2 linked regions of the Sus scrofa genome follow. Each later gene encodes a partner of the first gene's protein in a complex. Links are inferred from orthologs where the notes say so. Each region holds a gene or a part of one and is shown in the gene's direction. Other genes may lie near its edges.

Region 1 (10,626 bases):
ATAGCACCAATAAAGTAAGAAGAAAAAGACCGAGCTGGGAGTATGGACGAGGCACCTTGTTCTGTGGAGGCAAGCTGAGAACGGAGGGCACTTCTGCTACAGTCTCACTCCAGGGAGGCCTTGCAAAACGGTGGGGAAGGAAAATCTCCCCAATGGGAGGCGATTTGAGACGTGCACCTGGTTCTCCACTTTCTGTGGGAGGAGAACGGCCCAAGGTTAGAACAGATGCGGACTCCTGGACAGTGATGGGTGGCCTGGCCAGTGGGTAGACGTGCTGAAAAAGATTGTAAAGTCAGAGACAAGAAGATCTGGAACAGAGGCAGGTGGACAGACATATAGGAGTGGATGCAAAGTGGGGAATTGATCCTGCTGTACAGCACAGGGAACTGTATCCAGTCACTGGTGATGGAGCATGACGGAGGGTAATGTGAGAAAAAGAATATATATATATCATATATATGTGACTATAATACATATTATATAGTCATACATATTAGACATTATATATTTTCATATATATCATACATGTATGAATATATGTGTGATATATATATATATATACACACATATGACTGGGTCAGTTTGCTATACAGCATAAATTGACAGAATACTGTAAATCAACTATAATAATAATAATTAAAAAAAAAGCTCAGTGGAAATGAATCTGACTAGCATCCATGAGGACACAGGTTTGATCCCTGGCCTTGCCCAGCAGGTTAAGAATCCAGCATTGCCAGCAGCTATAGCTCCGAATCGAACCCTAGTCTGGGAACCTCCATATGCCGTGGTGCGGCCCTAAAAAAAAAAATGTCAAAATGGGAAGTTGTGTGGATCACGTGTTAAGGCCCACTAGTAAGTATCTATGATGAAAGATGTGCCAACTAGACTTAATGACTTGGCCAGTTGATGTGGCCAGCCTTTGTCAGAGCCCCTCTTCCACCCCTACTGCACAATGGGGACCTGAACAGAAAGGCTACGGTGGCAGAGATGAAGGCAATACAAAAACCTAACAGCATGAACTTCATTTACTAAAATCAATACAGCTACTGCCACCTCTAAATGCCCCTCTGCCAGCCATCAAGACCAAGGCTCAGCCCTATTCCTTAAGGAGACCAATAAGATACTTGGTGACCAGTTGACAACACTGGGGCCAATTTTTCCTGGAAGGCCAGAGGTTTGCTTTCTCAGGAACAGACGCCGATTCCAAGTATGGGGTTGCCTTTCCTGCCTGCAGGACCTCAGTAGCACCACTCTCTGGGAGCTTTTTTTTTTTTTTTTTTTTTTGGTCTTTTTAGGACTGCACCCATGGCATATGGAAATTCCCAGGCTAGGGACTGAATCAGAGCTGTAGCCACTGGCCTACATCACAGCCACAGCAACAAGAAATCCCAGCTGAATCTGCAAGCTACACCACAGCTCATGGCAACACCAGATCCTTAACCCACGGAGCAAGGCCAGGGATCAAACCTGCGTGCTCATGGATACTAGTCAGATTCATTTCTGCTGAGCCACGACTGGAACTCCTCTGGGTGCTTAAAGACGGCCTGATCCACAGATACGGAACCCCACATAACACAGTATCTGACCACCAGAAGCTGCTCTTCATCCCAGGAAATAGAGGAATCAGTCCGTGAACATGGGATCTCCTGGTCCTGTCACACACCCTGGAACCCCAAAACTGCTGATAGGTAAAACACTGGAATGGTCAGAGACGCAGCTGAAGCTCTGGCATGGAGGCAATTCACTGCAGTGACGACGTTTCCTCCAGGGCATCAGAGCCTACGCCTTCCATCAGAGAATGTCTACGGTGCTGGGTTCCCAACAGAGGGAAGACCTTGGGGAAGCATGAGTGGCCCCAGCTAGTATCTTTCTAATGACTGGTTGGGGAGGAAGAAATTTTCCTCTTCTCTTCCAGGTTCTTCTGGCTGGTCTAAGAATTAAATTGACATGGGACAGATGAATAGGAGAAAAAATCACCCGAAGCTGAATAATATGTATACATGGGAGAGATACAGAAAAACTGAATAACTCCCCCCCAAGAGCTGAAAGCCTCACATTTTTATTTTTATGTTTTTTCTTTTTCTTTTTAGGGCCGCAGTTGCAGCTTATGGAAGTTCCCAGGCTAGGGGTCAAATTGGAGCTACAGCTGCTGGTCTACACCACAGCCACAGCACAGCAGATCCAAGCTGCGTCTGTGACACAAACTGCAGCTCATGGCAATGCCGGATTCTTAACCCTCGGAGCTAGGCCAGGGATTGAACCCACATCTTCATGGATCCTAGTCAGGATGGTTACTGCTGAGCTAAGACAGGAGCTCCTGACAGCCTCACCTTAAATACCATCTTTAGCTGAAGACAAAAGAGAACAGAGTTCCCTGATGGCCTAGCAGCTGAGGACCTGATGTTTGTCACTGCTATGGCTCTGGTTTGATCCCTGGCTGGGAACTTGTGCATGCACCAAGTGTGGCCAAAAAAAAAAAAAAAGAAAAAGAAAAAGAAACACCAAAGAGGAGGTTGGGGGTAGTGGTGCAAATATTTGGTAAATAAATGTTTGCTGGGTCAGCAGAGACAAGGGGACACAGAGTAGACTCTGACCTCTAGGCCCTGCTGAGAATGTCCCCTGCCACACCGAGCCCATTCTCTTTGCAGATATCTCTGGTGATAACTCTAGCTTGGGAACATGCCCTACATCTAAATTTCTTTTAGGCAGCTGAGGAAAAGCTCACAGTTTCTTCCTGAGTCTTTCAGGCCTTGATTATTTTCAGCTTGACATAATCCGCATGCTAGAGACATTTTGGGGGTGGCAAGTTTTGCTCTCCTACAAATCCACTGGGCTTCCCTGTACCCATAAGTCCAGGTTCTACAAAATTAGAGGCTTTGGTCTCCCCAAAGGGGCACATTCTTGCCCGGGGATACAGCAAAGATCCCACTGGACTAAAAGTTACAGCTGCCACCAGGCACTTTGACCTCCTAATGGTAAGAGACCTGCAGGTGAAACAAGGAATCATTGGCAATCGATGACCTTCTCAGAGGAGGGAGGGCTGCTGTGGGAGGGGCAGGGAGGAATACCTGTGCACTCCAGTGATCTATTTGGGTGTCAGCTGGTACTCTTTTACCCAGATACGACTGTGAATGTTCAAGACAAGAGCAGCAACGGTGATGTAAGAAGGTGCTCAGATCACTTAGGAATGTGGATTTGGGGTACCACCCAGGTGAGCTACTGAGACCACCTTAGGTGGGAGTGAGGGGAAATTAGAAGTGGACAGTGGTGCCATCATCAAAAAGTCCACAAATTGGAGTTGCCATCATGTCTCAGCAGTAATGAACCCGACAAGTATCCATGAGGACACAGGTTTAATCCCTGGCTTTGCTCTGTGGGTTAAGGATCTGGGTTGCCATGAGCTGTGGTGTAGGTCGTAGACGTGGCTCGGATCTGGCATTGCTGTGGCTGTGGTGTAGGCCGGCAGCTGCAGCTCCGATGGAACCTTAACCTGGGAACCTCCATATGCTGTGGGTGTGGTCCTAAAAAGCAAAAAAAAAAGCAAAAAAAAAAAAAAAAGGCTACAAATAATAAATGCTGGAGAGGTTGTGGGGAAAAGGAACCCTCCTACTGTCGGTGAGAATGTAATCTGGCTTATCCACTATGAAGAACAATATGGAGGTTCCTTAAAAAGCTAGAAGTAGAGTTATCATATGATCCAGCAATAAAAGATGGAAGCCCTAATTCAAAAAGATACATGCACCCCAATGTCCATAGCAGCCCAACTAACAATAGCCAAGACCCAGAAGCAACCTAAGTATCCATTAACAGAAGAATGGATAATGAAGATGTGGCATATATATATATATATATGGAGAGAGAGAGGAACACTCTTCAGCCATAGAAAAGAATGAAGGAATGCCATTTGTAGCATGAATGGACCTAGAGATTATCATACTAAGTAAAGTAAGTCAGACAGAGACATATTATATGATATCACTTATATGAGGAATCTAAAAAAAATAGTACAAATGAACTTATTTACAAAACAGAAATAGACTCAAAGAAAACAAACTTATGGTTACCAAAGGAGAAGGGGGGAGGGATAAATTGGGAGTGTGAGATTAACAGATGCACACTACTATATATAAAATAGGTAAACAACAAGGATTTACTGTACAGCACAGGGAATTATAGTCAATATCTTATAATAAACTATATCAGAAATGAATAGAAAAAAATAGATTTACACGTATGTATAACGGAATCACTTTGCTGTATACCTGAAACTAACACAATATTGTCAATCAACTATGTGCCAATCCAAAAAGAAAGAGAGGGAGTTCCCCTCATGGCTCAGCTGTTAACGAACCCGAATCCGAACCCGCCTGGGATCCATGAGGATGCCGCACTTTCCATATATAGAAGTTCTCCGGCCAGGGATCCATCAGATCTGAGTCACAGCTGCCAACTATGCCACAGCTGTGGCAACACTGGATCCTGGTGCATTGCACTGGGCCAGGGATGGAACTCTGCTGCTGCAGAGACAACGCCAAATTCTTAACTCAATCCGCCACAGCAGGAACTCCCTTAACTTCCCTTTTTTAAGTGTCCTTTCAGTAAGGACAGCCCATCGTGGCTGTGAAAAAAACTGAAGAAATAGATCCCCGTGGCACAAAGAGAGGACCAGATCTGACACAGAAGTCCCTCAGATTTCCCTTCAAGCCAAGGCTTGCTGCCCAGCTGCAAGGAGGGTTTTTAGATGAGAGCCTCCAGCTTTAGCTTCTTCAGGATTCACTTTAGTGACTGCACTGAAGTCAGGTACGTCTCCAGTGACCCCTGCCAATGACCAACCAAGGCAGTGGTAAAAGGATCTAGGTTTTTCTGCCCAAGCTAGACTCTGGCTCCTGTTGGGCCCACCGTAGACTTTGTCAGGGCTGCATCGCAGTCTGACAGCCCCCAGACCAACCCTTCTTCCCTTGACTTTCTCTGGTGTTACCCCCCAGGACAGCGTCTGTACCCTTAATTCCTTATCAGTGCCTGCTTCCTAGACAGCCCAATACAAATGGCGCAATGCCTGCTTTTTCCCTCTCAACATTGTTTCACAGGGTCTCAAATTGAGAAAAATTTTATAATCGTTGTTCCCTACCGCTCAAACCAAACTGTACTGTCTGTGGTCTGTGCATGCAGGTTGGAAAGAAGAATTTTCCAGACTCGTAGTGGAGGGGGTATGTGAAAAGAAAGAAGAGTTTATTGGAGTTCCTATTGTGGTGCAGCGGAAACGAATCCGACTAAGAACCATGAGGTTGAGGGTTCGATCCCTGGCTTCTATCAGTGGGTTAAGGATCTGGCGTTGCCGTGAGCTGTGGTGTAGGTCACAGATGCGGCTCAGATCTGGCATTGCTGTGGCTCTGGCTCTGGCATAGGCTGGCAACTGTAACTCTGATTAGACCCCTAGCCTGGGAACCTCCATATGCCATGGGCTCTGCCGTCAAAAAAGACAAAAGACAAAAAAAAGAGTTTATTGAGATGAGAGACGCTGTTAACACAGTGGGCCAAATTCCTGATAATCAGGGAGAGCCGACTCAGAAGAGAGGAGCTTCAGATGAGAGATGCTGTACTTGCACCCGACGATGTGCTGATGATCTGAGAGAGCCAAGGCTGAAGGCATGGCCATGTCCATTTTTTTTTTTTTTGTCTTTTTAGGGCTGTATTTGTGGCATATGGAGGTTCCCAGGCTAGGGATTGAACCGGAGCTGTAGCTGCTGGCCTACACAGGTTGCTCAAGGTGGGGGAAGGGGCATTACAGTGAGACCGGTGGGGTGATGCTAAGGGTCTGGTCATCACTTGAATTCAGTCTCCTCGAAGGGGACTTGAAGTCTAACAGTACTCTAGACGCCAGTCTCCTGTATACCCTTTGCAGCATTTAATCATGGATGTCCCTTACATTTTCATGTCTTCCCAAACACAAGTTCCTTGAGAGCAGGGATTATTTCGTAAACTTCTGTCATTTATTTTATTTTTGCTTTTTAGGGCCACACCCGAGGCATACGCAAGTTCCCAGGCTAGGAGTTGAATCGGAGCTACAGCTGCTGGCCTACACTACAGCCACAGCCACGCCAGATCTGAGCTGCATCTGCGACCCCATGGCTCATGGCAACGCTGGATCCTTAACCCACTGAGCGAGGCCGGGGATGGAACACGCATCCTCATGAATAGTAGTCGGATTCGTTTCCCCTGGACCACAGCAGGAACTTATTTTGTGAGCTTCCGTATGCCCACAGAGACCGACTAACTTATGAGCCACACAAAAGATGTTATGATGAATTTAATTGATTTGATATTGAAAGCCCAGACCCTGGGAATCTGTCAGATTATAAATCAGGCCACGTGGATTAAAGGTAACTATAAATCAGGCCATCTGTTGCTATAAAGTAATAGGTAGAGGGATGATCTGGTTGAGCTCAGTTTAGGCTGGTTTTCATAACAAAATGCTCTATACCTGAGAGACGTGGTTCGCCAACCAAGAACTGCCAATCTGAGGAGAACACCCAGTGATCATTTTACAGATTTTCTAGTTTGACAACTGGATTCTACCATTAAAAAAAAAAAGGTTTATTACCTATCTGATCAATGACCCATTTATTTCACTTGGGAATGTTGGAAGGAAAAAGGAAAAACTTTTTCCCTCCGCCACATGAGTCCATTGATTGGATCCTGCAAATTAACTGACAATAGATTAACAGGAGAAAAGGCAAAATTTATTTAGCATTGGGCGGGGGGGACTTCTAATAATGGAAACCTCCAGTGAAGGACTAAAGTAACTTTATATCTCTCAGTTTAACAAAAGGGAGGTTTTTAGGACTACAGTGGGAGAGTAGGGAAGGTTCTGCCGGGCTTTTTGATGCTAATGGCAATGGTTGATCTGTCTTCACCGCAACTGAATTAGCAGGAAACTCCCTTGGAAGGAGGTTAAGGGCAGCTGTACGTTAGGTAGGTTCTGCTTTATTCAGATTTGGAGCAGTTCAGATAAGATTTCTTTCTTCATCTTCTGTAGCTGAAACGTTTTCACTTTAAAATAATCCTAATACCAAGCCTGGGGGTGCAAGTGGGTTCCCACCGAAGGAAAAGATCTTGTCCAAACATCCGAGAAGAGGAACCTAATCTCAAGTCTTGGGATGTGTCTGAGCATGCCCGACGGTGACTGACTGCTATCCGATATTTAGCCTTGTGTGGGTCTCAGCGTCTGAGACACCTCTGTTCGCGATTATAGACAGGCAAGAATGTGTCAAGAAGCAGTTCTTCAAAAAGCTCCCGAGAGGAATTCCCCTGTGGCACAGCAGGGTAATCAACCAGCATTGACAGAGCAGCCTCTCTGGTCGCTGCGGTGGCGTAGGTTCGACTCCGGGAACTTCCACATGCCTCCATAATATAAATAAATACATACAAAAAGTTATGAGAAGGCAAAATAGGGGAAACCAATAATCACTGGCCTTTAAGAAGGCAGGGTGGTGTGGGAGAAAGTGCATAGCAGTCCCGGCCAATCTGGAGCCTGGGGGCCAGATTTGGGGAACATCCGGCTTGAGGGACGGCTGTTGTGTGCTCAGGTTACTTCCTCAAATAGAGCGAAGATAACAATATCTAGCTAGTGCAATAACTAGCTAGTACTAGTTGTGAAGACTCACCAATACAGGAGGCAGGGCGCCGGCTGGGAGCAAGTCAAGGGCTCACTCGGGTCTGTGCTTGGCGGGGATGGGGGGGGTGGTGGAGAATAGAAGACTCCTCAAGAGGGCTCCCAAGACTCGCGTTATTCGCCACTTGGGCTGGCTTTAAAACTCCCTCAGAGCCCCGAGATGATTTTTAGTTTCTCTTCTCTCCGAAGCAGCCTCGCGGTGCCCAGCTGGGGAACCTGACCTTCGCGGAGCAGAGAACCGAGAGGGAGCCGTCCGACTGTCGCCGGCGGATTAGTCCCAGCCTGTTCGCTCTCTTTCCAGTTGCTCGCCGTCGCGATTGATTTTAAGTTGACACAAGGACCGGGTCGGTGCGATCTGGACTCTCGACCCAAGCCTTGGAGGAAACCGAAACCTCCGGGCTCAGCTAACAGCGGCGGAGAGCGCACGCTCGCTCGCTCGCCCCGGGCGCGCCCAGCCCGCGCGCCGCCCGCTCCCGCCCCCGGGATTCTAGTAAGTTTCGATTCTCCCCAGAGCGGAGTCCCGCGCCGCCGCGGCCAGGCCAGCGCAGGGAGCCATGGCTGACCCGGGGGTGTGCTGCTTCATCACCAAAATCCTGTGCACCCACGGGGGCCGTATGGCCCTGGAGGAGCTGCTGCAAAAGGTGAAGCTCTCCGAGGCGCAGCTCTGCGAGGTGCTGACAACCGCCGGGCCCGACCGCTTCGTGCTGTTGGAGACCGGCGGCAAGGCGGGGGTCACCCGGTCCGTGGTGGCCACCACTCGAGTCCGGGTCTGCCGTCGCAAGTACTGCAACAGACAGTGCGGCAACCTGCACCTCTGCAAGCTCAACCTGTTGGGCCGGTGCCACTATTCGCAGTCGGAGCGGTGAGTGCCCTGAGCGGGAGGGGCGGCTCCCCGGGTGGTGGTCGGGGAGGACTCGCGGCTGCTGCTCCGGGAGGGGCGCGCCCTCGCGGGGACCTCGCACCCCGTGCCGCGTCCTCCAGACGTTCACATCTTCGCTCCCCTTCTTGCTGGGCCCGCGCTTCTTCGCCTGGAGGGTCCTTTCCTTCGGGCGCCGTCAGACCTTTCCTGAATATGGCTAGCGCGCTATTGCCCTGGTGGAGACGACGATTAACCCCACGTCCTTAAGAATAAAGTACTTTTGGGTAAACCGGGGCCTAGAGAATTTGGAAGCAGGTTTGGGAAGGAAAGAAAATGCCCCCACTCTCTGGAATCTTGAGTCTTTCCCTCTCGGTCCCTCCGCACACACCCCCCCGCCCCCCGCCCCGCTCCAGCTCCCAGGCGTTCTGTGGTCTTTGCATCCGATTCTCTCTCCACCGCAGAGGGTCCCTGCTTGGCCCTCCATCGGTGCCTCCTTTCTCCTCGTTATCATTCTTCTGATATCTGACTGTAGACCGCACCACCAGACTAGAATGGTCCCATTCAAGGTCATTGATGATGGGTCCTCCACCAGAGTTGCTTCCCCAAGACCCCCCCACCCCCACCCCGTGGTGACTCACACGGTTGACCACCCACTCTTGGGACCACTTTGAACAGGGTGGCAGATCTCCCGGGCAGCTGCTTCTGTGTTTCCACTTGTTCTTTTTTGCCTCCTGATACCGATGTGGCCCAAGGTTTGGGTTAAGCCTTTTGACGTACCTGTCTGCCAAGTCTCCCCGTGGGAGCACTCTCCCTTTGGGTTCAGTTGTCACATGTACAAAGATGGCCTCCTTGTGTACATTCGCTGTCCAGGCCTTCCTGCTGATTCTAGGTTCTTGTCTCCCGGTGTCTGAGGAGCATCTGTGCCTGCATATCTTGTCAATAGGAGTCAAATTCATCCTCTGACATGCCCCCCAACCTCTTCTGCTTCACAGTACTTTCGGGACCCCTTAATCACCCAGCCCTCCTGTTCCTGTCAGGTTCCTACTTCTCATCTCACTTCTAAATGAATGCCTTGTTGAATGAATGAGTGACTTCCTCAAACTGTCGTCTTTCTCCTCACTTTTTCTATCTGTATGTACTTCTGCTAAATTACTTTTCCTGATGTAGTACTTTTCACACTTCACCCACCCCTCCTTAAAACTTGAAGTGGTGTCTTAGTGCCCAAAAAGGGTGATCATCAAACTTTTTGTGATGCACGAATGGGCAAAAACCTTTAGATCACTCACCCCCAGTATTTGTGATAAAACAGTACAAAAAGAGATGTTTTAAATGGATGAAGTAAATGAGATGTTTTCAAAAGTTTTGTTTAGAGTAGAACTGTTAAAAAAATTTAAAAATAATGCTCTGTTGCTGTTAAAAAATATTTATTGCGTACGTTGTGATGCAACAACCGCAAAGTCTGTTTGTGAGTTTCAGGAAGTTATGCGCAGGGAAGGAGTCATCTAAGTCAGCAAGGGATGAAATCAGGAAGGAGGGAAGGAGGGAAGAAAGTAGAGAATAGAAAAGCAGAAGGAACTTTCTAAGCACTCTACTGAGTAACAATGGAGATGGAGGAGTTCCCGTCATGGCGCAGCGGAAAAAAATCCAAGAAACATGAGGTTTCGGGTTCGATCCCTGGCCTTGCTCAGTGGGCTAAGGATCCGGTGTTGCCATAAGCTGTGGTGTAGGTCGCAGATGCAGCTTGGATCTGGCTTTGCTGTGGCTCTGGCGCAGGCTGGCAGCTCCAGCTCCAGTTAGACCTCTAGCCTGGGAACCTCCATATGCTGTGGGTGCTGCCCTAAAAAGCAAAACACATACACACACACACACACACACACAACAATGGAAATGGAAGACTTTGTTATTTTTTCTGTTCTGTTGTGAAAAGTTGGTCACTAGTTAGCGTTGACTTTTGGTTTTAAATACATAGGCTTCTTATCTTTTAATTTTTCACTATGAGTATTTTCAACATACACTAAAGCAGAGAAAAGAGAATGATGAACCCCCCTGTGGCCATCGTTTCATTTCAGCAGTTTTCAAAAATGGCCGTCATTTA
Region 2 (10,461 bases), on another chromosome or scaffold:
ACTTGAGCCAGTTTATATAGCTTGAACCAGCTGGCCGGTTCATGGCAGAGCTGGGAGGAGAGCCCAGGCTATGGGCTTTCTTCATGCTAGTGCTCCTTCCTATTTTTGTTTTAGAAGTGAGTGGCGGGGAGGGGGTGAAGATGAATTAAGCTTGTGTAAAACAATGACATCTATGCTGAACCGGTTAGCTGTAATGGAAACACCAAAGAACTAGCTTTGAATACTGACTCTGTGGCTGCTACCTATGTGGACTTTTCTTGAGGCCTCGGTCTCCTCATCTATGAAGTGCGGGATAACAATTCCTAAATTACGGATAGTGCAAGGATCTTATGAAATAATCTGCGCAAAGAGGCTACCATGGTGCTGGGTATGGAGTAAGTCTCCATCAATGAGGTGGACTGCATGTTTGCGTCCCTCAAGTTCACATGTGGAAACCCTAGCCCCTAGTGGGATAGTATCAGGAGGTGGCGCTTTTTGGAGGTAATTAAGTTTAGATAAATTTGCGAGGGTGCAGCCCCTATGATGAGATTAGTGTCCTTGTAGGAAGGCAAAGAGGAGTTCCTGTTGTGGCTCAGTAGGTCAAAAACTGGACTAGTATCCACGAGGAAGCAGGTTCGATCCCTGGCCTCACTCAGTGGGTTAAAGAATCTGGCATGGCCACAAGCTGTGGCATAGGTTTGGGATGCAGCTTGGATGTGGTACTGCTGTGACTGTGCTGTGGACCATGGCTGCAGCTCCAATTCAACCCCTAGCCTGAGAACTTCCATATGCTGCATTGGTGGCCCTAAAAAGAAGAAGAAAGAAAAGAAGACAAAGAAACGATAGCTCGCTTGCTCTCAAGCACTTGAAGATACAAGGAAAAGACGGCCATCTGCAGGCAGGAAGTCGGCTCTCACCAGACACTTGATTTGCTGGCACCGTGATCTTGAATGTCCAGCCTCTAGAACTATGAGATATAAGTTTCTGTTGTTTAAGCCACTTAGTCTACAGTGTTTTGGTTATAGCAACCTCAATGGACCAAGACAAATCACAGGCCATCCAACGTTTCTTCCTGACCTTGGAAGCCTTGCTGTTACTGCCCCTCAGACTCCAAGACCTTCCTAAACTTGGCCAAGCTTCCAGACTTCCAACGACTGCTTCTTGCTGCTTTTCTCACTTGCTGAAACTTCTGCTCAGTGCTGGCAGGAGGATAGGGTGGCAAGAAAGATCCGTCCTCCTGCCAGCGCTGAGCAGAAGCTTGAACAAGTGACAAAAGCAGCAAGAAGCAGACACCTGGCGCTCATGTAGACATGGTCACACAGTATTTATAGAGCACTTTCTGTGTGCCAGGCCCTGTTCAGGTGTGGAACAGACGGCAGGTGATGAGAGTGGCGTGGTCTCTGCCCACGGTCAGGTAAGTGAGGCAACTCCACAAGCAAATACAGTGCAGGGTGGTAAGGGAAAGAACCTGGCATAGGAGCCCACAGCACAGGGGCTCAAAGCCTCAGCTCAGAGAGGTTTATCTTCCGTCACCACCAGCCCCCCCAAAGTAATGCATATGCTACTGCAGTGCATGAGTGAAAGGTTCAGAATTCCTAAGTGGAAGATTGATTAGGAAGGTACTTAGCAAAATCTCTACTTTCTATTCAAGGGAATTTTAAGCAATAATCAGGCTTTACCCATATGGCTTCTGAGCCCTCTTAGCGAGATTTTTCTTTTGCAGGGTTGAACAATTTACAAGGTCTGATTTGAGATTATTCCTCCTGTTTTTAGAGGAGTGAATAAAGAAGACATGTCCACAGTTGAGCACTGTGGGCACCGTAGACTATTAGTCACAGCTTCCCTCCATCATGAATCTCCCTTCTCATCTGGGACATTGGTGGCTGAACTTTCCCAAGTCTCTAACAGAGAAAGTCCCCAGTAGGGAATATATCTATATCTATATCTATATCTATATCTATATCTATGTCTATGTCTATATCTATGTCTATATTATATATATCTATATTTCTGTATATCTCTGTCTCTATCTATCTACCCATCTGAGTCACTTTGCTGTATAGTTGAAATTGGCACAACATTGTAAATCAACTATACTTTAATTAAAAAAAAAAAAGAAAAGGAAAAGAACAAAGTCCCCAGTAGGCAGGCAGTCCCAGAAATAAGCAAAATAAAAGAAAGTCCCACACTGTATCTCATTCTCATGTTAGAAAGCCCACAAAGTAGGGACACAGTCTTTAGGGAATTAGCCTGTTGTGGCCCCCTTTGCCTGGCAAAGCAACAAAGCTAACCTTTTCTCCTTTACTGTCCCCCCCAATAAAAGCCCACAAACTGTCTATTGAGATGGGGACCCCCCAAGCTTTGCTATACCATGTTTTCTTACTGGCCATTTATGATGTCTTTTGTTTCTAGGTAAAAGTGAATATGCCTGAAAGAGAGAAGCATTGTAACAGGTAAGTGGCCACAATAAAACAAAACAAAAATCCTACCTACTTTTTAAAGATTGTCCTAGAGTCCTTTGGACAGGCACCAGTTTTGTTTCCTAATTTGTATGGTAACAGTAACTTACCTATATTGAGTACTTGCTCTGTGCTTTCCAACCCTGTGGGGGTAGATACAGTATTTCTTTGCATTTATAGGGGAGGAGTTCCCATTGTGGCTCAGCAGAAATGAATACAATTAGTAACCATGAGGTTGTGGGTTCCATCCCTGGCCTCGCTCAGTGGGTTAAGGATCCGGCAGTGCTGTGAGTGATGAGGCTCAGATCCTGAGTTGCTGTGGCTCTGACATAGGCCATCAGCTGTAGCTCCAATTGAACCCCTAACCTGGGAACCTCCCTATGCTGCAGGTGTGGCCCTAAAAAGAAACATAATGCATTGATAGGGGAAGAAAATTAGGCACAGAGAGGTTGTGTAACTCTCTGAAGGTCATGGGTGGCTGTTAAGCCAGAGGCTCCAGTGTCCACCTCTTCACCACCACGTTCACTGCCTTTCATGCAAGTGTAGTCATTTTGTTGCTAGAGTTACTTTCCTCCCACTAATCTATGGACTTTTCAACTTTTATTAATGTATGAATATACATTAATATAATGTATATCAAGATTTCTCTTTCAATTTGGTCCAGACTAAGATGATTTACAAACTAAAACAGAACCTGATTTAGGGAGGACAGACTAATTTTAGCAGGTTGACTTTAAGGGGAGATAGGACCCATTCAGTTGGGTCCAAGAATGATTCTCTTGGCCCTGATAGAGTTTGACTTGAATGCCATGCCCTCGATTTCTGAGCTATAATGAGAAGACAGCTATTTTGAGTTGCCACTTAAGTATTTTACAGTACGACAACCCTACTTGAACCCAGGGTCTGGACATTTAGATAAGGATCCAAGTTTAGGACTCCTGTCCCAAATTCCTGCTTTGCTTTACCTGGGGCACCTTTTAAAATGACCGCTTAGAGGGCTCCCTGGTGGCCTAGTGGTTAAAGGATCTGGTGTTGTCATTGCTATGACTTGGGTCACTGCTGTGGCGTAAGTTTGATCCCTGGCCCAGGAAATTCCACATGTCATGGGGTGCAGCAAAAAAAAAAAAAAAAAAAAAAAAGAAAAAGAAAAAAGAAAAAAGGAAAAAGAAAGATCAGTTAGAGTTGAGTTCATATAAAGTTAGTGACCTCCAACCCAACCACCTTGCATGTAATAAGTTCTTGCTATCCTGTGTACATATGAACTGAGATGGAGGACTGCCCTTCCCCTGGTTCATTGCCTCCCCTCCTCCCTCCTGGTTTCTGAGATCTGTGAGTAATAAGTCTTACGACATCACTTCCTTTGTGTGAGTGTACTGCACCTTCAATCAAAACAACCATGGGTTTTTCACTTCCTCAAATGGAGAGCTCAGATGCTGAGGGAGCTACCCACTGATCCCATGTGGTGGCTTGTACCTTCTCATTCAGCAAGTCATACTCTGCATATCCTTAATTTAATGCACCAGCTACAGTCCCCCAACACATGAGGGGTGCCATTTTCCCTCAGCTAATAAATGGTGCTGTTTCATAAGTTTCCACACTCTTGTAGGTAGTGAAAAATGAATCAGGGGAGATTGCAGCAGCTGGATTGCAAAGGCCCAAAAAAAGTACATTCAGAGTGATAGATTTGATGTTAGACCCTCCCCCTCCCCCAGGATCCCCTTAAGGGGTTTAGCAGTGAAGTTCATTCAAATAGGTCACTATGGCAACCTCAGTGTGGAGAATGGACTCAGAGAAGCAAAACTGGAGGTCAATGTGCGGGTTAGGAAGCATTCAAAGAACTCTGAGATGTGGGTAATTTGAGAGAGGATGGATGGGAAACAATGGATGGACCTGGTGGATGTGAGTGATTGGACAGAGAGGAATCGAGGATGATGGCTGGGGTTCTGCTTGGGCAACAGGGATGTTCCTTTTTTAAACACAGAGAAAGGGAGAAAGACAGGATTTAGGGAGGACAGACTAATTTTAGCAGGTTGACTTTAAGGTGGGATAGGTAGTGTAGGAGTCTGAGATTTAGGAGGGAGGTCCTGTATAGAGACAAAAATGTGGTCATTGTCAGAGCACAGATGGAGATTCGTACTTTCGAGGTTGTGTCAGGACGAAAGGAATCCTAAGGCAGAACCTTGAGGAAAACTGACATTTGGGAGATGTTTAGCAGTACAGGAGCGTAAAAAAGAATGTGGTCTGAGCAGAGACATGGAGGGAGCACCCAGAGCATGCAGTCAGGTGGGGCAGGGAGTTGCTTCTAGAAGGAGGGAGTGGACAACAGAGTCAAATGTTAGGGAGAGCCTGAGTAACAGAGGACTGGATGATAGTGACATTGGTGACTGACACAGAAGTCATGAGTGACCAGTTGAGGGCAGTTTAGGTGGAGCAGCAGAGGCTACCGTTGACTTAAGGGGTGAGCAACTGGTAAGCATAGATACTTGGCTCTAAAGGAGAGGAGAGGTGATGTCTACTAGCTGCGGGGGCATATAAAGCTGAGGATAACTATATACCCACCGCTATTGCCATACCATCCTTTTCTCGTCTAGACCTAAGAGACTTGAGTCTATTTAACTGCTAAACAGAAGCAGTGAGAGGGAGGGAGACACTGAACATTCAGGAGGGTGAAGAGGAAAGGAAAAGGATATGTTTGCAGGAAATGAAATCCACAGCTGGTGGATGAAGATAGCTGCCTTGACAGAAGAAAGGGCACAGCTTCTACTGAGCCAGATGCGAAGAAGGAGAGATGAGGAGGATGGTGAGTTTCTGGATGTGCCATTGGGAAGGGGTCCTCCTGGGGCTTCTGCTTTCTTGGTGAAGCAGAAAGTGAGGTACCTGCTGCTGGCAGTGGGGGCAGAGTTGGAGGGTAAAAGGTTTGAGAGACCAGAAGGCTTCAGTTGGATTCCAGGGAGAATGAGGAAAGAAGCTGGCAAAGAAGAATTGACTGGAGGATTGAGGACCAGGGGTGGCTGGAGACCATGGATTGAGAGCTGCAGCAAATGCTTCAGCCGGACTTCTCTCTGTAGAAAGCAGCTGCCAGGGCGTGGGTGTAGGAAAGGTCGACAGTTGGATTCTATTCTTAGGCTCCTCAAAGTCCTAGGAGATTTTAGTGCCTGGAGAGGAACACTAGCCACCATCTGTGCTTTATTTATTGTTTAACTCATTTGCTTCATAAACCTGCTTAAGCAAAAATTGTCTAAACATTTATATAACCAATGAGCCAAAATCTACACATTTTACAAATCAGATCATTTAAACATTGACTGAAAACTTAAATTCTCCTACACATTTCAATAGAGTCATCAGGGTAGTATGTCAGCTTCTCTAAAGGCATCAAATCTTTTGGTAAAGCACATGCCTTTCAAGGATTATAAAGTATATGACACCTACACTTACTATAAAATTGGGTTTATAGACCCAGGAGAAGGACACTATCTCAGTTCAGACCAATTTTTGAGTCTGGATAGACAAAAGATGAATAGTATCTCAGTGTAGATGAGGTTTTGAATTATTACTCAATGAGTTCTTGGTTGGGACCTGCTTTACCTTTTAAGATGTTGAATATCTGAGCCAGTGCTTATCTTATATATCACCGGAATTTTCATTTTCCAGTACCTTTTCCATTCATTTCCATGAATTAGTGTAATGTAACTGGATGCCTCTTTTTTAAAATGATGTCTTTAAGTTTTGTGGGTTTTTTTTTTTTTTTTGGCTGAATCTTTGGCATATGGAAGTTTCCAGGCCAGGGGACCAATCGGAGCTGCAGCTGCTGCCCTGCACCACAGCCACAGCAATGCCAGATCTGAGCCCTGTCTGCGAACTATAAGGCAGCTTGTGGCAATGCCAAATACTTTAACCCACTGAGTGAGGCCAGGGATTGAACCCACATCCTCGTGGATACTAGTCAGGTTCTTAACCTAGTGAGCCACAACAGGATCTCCTGTCATTTTTAGGTCTAAGGACTATGATATGCAGATGTTCCAGAGATGTCTATGCCCACTCCCTGGAGCCACCGAATATGTTGTGTTTAATGGTAAAGAGACATTTTCATATGCAATTAAAGTTATGGGTCTCAAAACAGAGAGATTATCCTGATTTATCCATGTGGGCCCAATCTAATTACCTTAAATTTGAGAATTTTAAAAGTCAGAGATGTGGCTGAAAGCTAGGTTGGAGAGGTTCAAACTGTTAGAAGGACTTGGCCTGACACTATTGACCCAAAGGCTGGAGGCCAGGAAACTCAGTCCTACAACCATAAGGAAATGAATGCTGAGTGAATTCTTTATTCATGATTGCCACCTCCTGACCCAAGAGGGAAATGGGTGTGCCCTTCCCTCCTCCTTCCTGGGGGCTATAAGGTTGATGTAATGGCATTCTTCCACTTCAGTAAAGAAGGCAGGGCTACTACCTACATCTTGCTTTTGACCTAATGAAACCCTAAGCAGAGAATCAAATCATGCTCTGCTGGACTTCTGACCTATAGAAACAGATATTAAATAGGTCAAAGTTGTGTTAAGGCAGTAACTTTGTGGTAATTGTTATGCAACAATAGAAAGCTAATACAATAACTTTACTGACATTATTTTCAAATTTATCTACCTCATTTGCATTTTTACAAACATCCTCAATCTTGTTGTTTTTCCCAATATCCAATCTTTTCTTCTTCTGACTTTTAGCTGAGCGTGGCTGCCTGGAATAAAGACTTTATTCCCTAGCCTGTCTCCACTGTCTGGTGTGGCCAGCTAGGACTAAATTCGGGCCATTGAGATGCAAATAGAACTGTTGGGTGTACCTTTCAGAAAGCTTCTTTAAAAGGAAATGGGTGTGCCAGTCCCTCCTCCTTCCTTGGGGCTATAAGGTTGATGCAATGGCTGGGGCTATCTTGGGTCAGGAGGTGGCAATAAAGAAAGCCAGGCTGATGATCATCAAACTGCCATCCTTCCCTGGACTCTTTGTTTGCAGATTCTTCTGTGTGAGAGGGAAATAACCTACCACCTTGTTTAAGCCATTATTATTTTGGGTTTTTCTGTTACTGTAATCTCTTTGTAATTAGTAGGGTAGTAGTATAAAGTTTCCCTTTTCCAAGAAGTGAAGGATCAAGTTTAAGGAGTGAGCAGTTAGCTTCTGGAAGTTTGACTAATTTATCATCATGTAACAAGTTGTTGGACTTTCTTCCTAGTTGTATTATTTGACCTGATGGTGCCAATCAGTCTCTTTCATTTTTGGTGCAGTTCCAACTTTTTCTGGAATTACTCACAGCTCTCTGGATCCACCCCTTCCTACTTATGCAGATAAAGACAAATAAATGCACTTTATGAATAGATAAATTATCTACTATATTTATACTCTTCTACTTATCAAAACTAATTAAAAAATATCCTATAATAGTCATACTTCTTCACTCAGTGTATTAACTACCTTTTTGCACATTGTATAGTTACTTTTTCCTTTTGAAAATCACAACAGAGACATGGCTTTTAAAAATTCACCTTGTGGAATTCCCTGGCAGCTCAGTGGGTTAAGGATCCAGCTTTGTCACTGCTATGGCTCGGGTCATTGCTGTGGCAAGGGTTTGATCCCTGGCCCAGGAACTTCTGCATGCCATGGGTGCAGCCAAAAAAAATCACCTTGTTCCAATTAACTATATCATTTTTCTTTTGATTATCCAATTGTCATAAAATGTCAGTTTGTGGAAGTCTATTAAAATGGTTTCTTTGGAGTTCCCATCGTGGCTCAGTGGTTAACGAATCCGACTAGGAACCATGAGGTTGCAGGTTCGATCCGTGGCCTTGCTCAGTGGGTTAAGGATCCGGCGTTGGTGTAGGTTGCAGATGTGGCTCGGTTCCTGTGTTGCTGTGGCTCTGGTGTAGGCAAACGGCTACAGCTCCGATTCGACCCCTAGCCTGGGAACCTCCATATGCCGCAGGAGTGGCCCAAGAAATGCCTTCTCAGCTCTACCCCTTACATTCAAAAAATATCTTTGATTTTTGTCTTCAATAGTATGTTCCAAGCCTAGAGTTATTTATGATGAGCTATTCTCCAAGGGACCGTGAGTCCTTTTAAAGGTGAATAATAGTTGAGGCAAAGATCCAGGTGCTAAGAATGCATATTAGATTTTTCCTGATGTTGTTCCTACACTACTTTAGTGACAAAATTTGAAAAAGTTATTTCTTTTGGAAACCACAAACTCACATTGGTATTTCCTCTTTAACTCAAGTACTACCAAATCCTTTTTTTTAAATTTGACTCTAACATATGAATTTACATTTATTTTCTCTACAACATATACCTGCTGGTCTCTTGTAACCCCTGAACCCAATTGTGATGGCATCTTCTCTCTCTAGTGATCCTATAGGGTCTCATTGACCATCATTCTCTAATTACTTTATTGATAGATTCATCCATGCTGGGCCAATGGGACAGAGAGGTGACACAAGTTTTTTAATACTGGCAGGAGAGTGGCTGAAGGGATGAATCATGGCATCCAAGGTAATAGGAAGTTTAGGAAGGAGACTAAGACGGCACAAATTAAGAGAAAGAGGAGACGTTGCAGGTCAGTGTAGAACAGCTACAGTGAAGGTCACTGAGAGAGCTGGGAGGAAGGAGGTGATGGGGAGAGCATGGAGTGATGAAAGTTCCGACTACATAGATGGAGCAGTTCTAGGAGGCGGCCACAGGCATTGATGTGTTCCATGGCCTGGAGATCTATACTTGCCCACATGTGACCTGCCTCCACCTCCAGCTGCCAAAGGAAGCTCTGTTTACCTGCTCTCTGCCAAAGCAAACATATATCCATGTCTTGGATGGGGAGGTGAGGGGCAGAGTCCACCTGGGATCTGGCACAGATAAATGCCTGGGGTTCACTATCTGCTGGTGGCTCCAATGTACACAAAAAAATGTGTACCATGTTCAGGCTGAGGGCACGCCCCCTTCCTGCCTTACCAGCTACAGGCTCTGGGCTGCTCTGTGGCCCTTACCATGCATCTGCTGGTGGCTAAGCCTCTGGCCCTAGTCCTCGCAGTGCTGGCTCAGCTTCTGAGTATGATTTGTGATGCTGGCACTCCTCACAGGAAGGAGCCTGCCGGATATGCTGAAGCTGGTCCATCTGGTCCCCTGTAGGGGCCTGTCAGGCTCACCTGTACCACCTGTTCCCAAATAGCACTGAGCGGGAAGCTGGGTTGGGGGTGGAGGACAGGAAGCAGAGACTGCAAAGTAGTCTACGCCTCCCTCCCTGGAAAATCTTGCTCTGATTCTAGGGCTGCAGGCAGAAATCAAGGCAGTGGGAGGCTGGGAGGCAACTGTGGGGGTGGGGTAAGAGGGACAGGTCCCAAGACACTGCAGCTCTACTCCTCACCTTGGATGTTTGGCACAGGGTCCCATGCAAGGCAGTGGAATAAAGGCAGCCAGAGGGAGTCTTTCTCCTGCCCTAAAGAGACTGCTTCTGGGGCAGGAAAGGGTAGAGGGCAGAGGTCAGGGGCTAGATTTCTGTCTTTGAAAAGCTTCAGCCCTCAGAGTGGGAAAATGAGGAAGCCAGAGAAGCTCGAATATTTCCAGCCACCGAGTAGGTTCCCTCGACGCAGGCGCAGAGACACCCGGTCCCCAGGATCCAGGGGCAGTAGCACAGAACTGGTGGCTGCCTCCCGGGTCACGTCTGGGTCATTGGCAAAGGCCGAGACGACAGGCCATGTGTTCAGCATCAGGCTTACCTGCAGAGGGAAGCCCAGTTAGCACCTGTCCCTGCCCCTCGCCCCAGGACCCCACTCTCTTGAGGGCTTTCTCCCTTCTCTCCAGCCCCAGAGGGACACGCTAATACCTGGGAACCTGGACAGTGCACCCACCTGGGAGGGCTGCGGGGTGGCCCATGTTGGACTCTGGACCTCTATCACACGCTCTGTTAGGTAGGTCCGTTCCCCCCTTGCTCTTGGCCTCCCAGGACACAGGTCAATGGAGGTCTGCCTGGGGGTCAGCTGGGCTCCACTTA

Evidence for each region.
Region 2: the proteins of ZC3HAV1 (region 1) and KHNYN are in contact, whole or in part, in a crystal structure (PDB 9BGL), measured with the Homo sapiens proteins. The link is inferred for Sus scrofa from reciprocal best matches to the Homo sapiens genes ZC3HAV1 and KHNYN. Residues at the interface, in NP_064504.2 of Homo sapiens: Glu5, Val6, Cys8, Phe9, Lys12, Ile13, Ala16, His17, Glu29, Ile30, Ala31, Leu32, Leu113, Glu115, Phe118, Ser127, Gly128, Leu129, Asn130, Glu133; in NP_001277186.1 of Homo sapiens: His651, Lys652, Asp654, Phe655, Gln658, Arg659, Pro661, Tyr662, Asn677, Phe678.

Annotation. Positions count from the first base shown.
Region 1 is NC_010460.4:10,524,296-10,534,921, forward strand, and holds the start of ZC3HAV1 (zinc finger CCCH-type antiviral protein 1), read left to right. Parts: upstream 1-5,510; 5' UTR 5,511-7,714; exon of another isoform or gene 7,715-7,861; 5' UTR 7,862-8,226; coding exon 8,227-8,534; intron 8,535-10,626.
Region 2 is NC_010449.5:74,866,831-74,877,291, reverse strand, and holds the start of KHNYN (protein KHNYN), read left to right. Parts: upstream 1-4,807; 5' UTR 4,808-5,126; coding exon 5,127-5,238; intron 5,239-8,848; exon of another isoform or gene 8,849-9,988; coding exon of another isoform or gene 9,989-10,186; intron 10,187-10,461. Other genes in the region: CBLN3 (cerebellin-3 precursor), read right to left, coding at 9,989-10,186.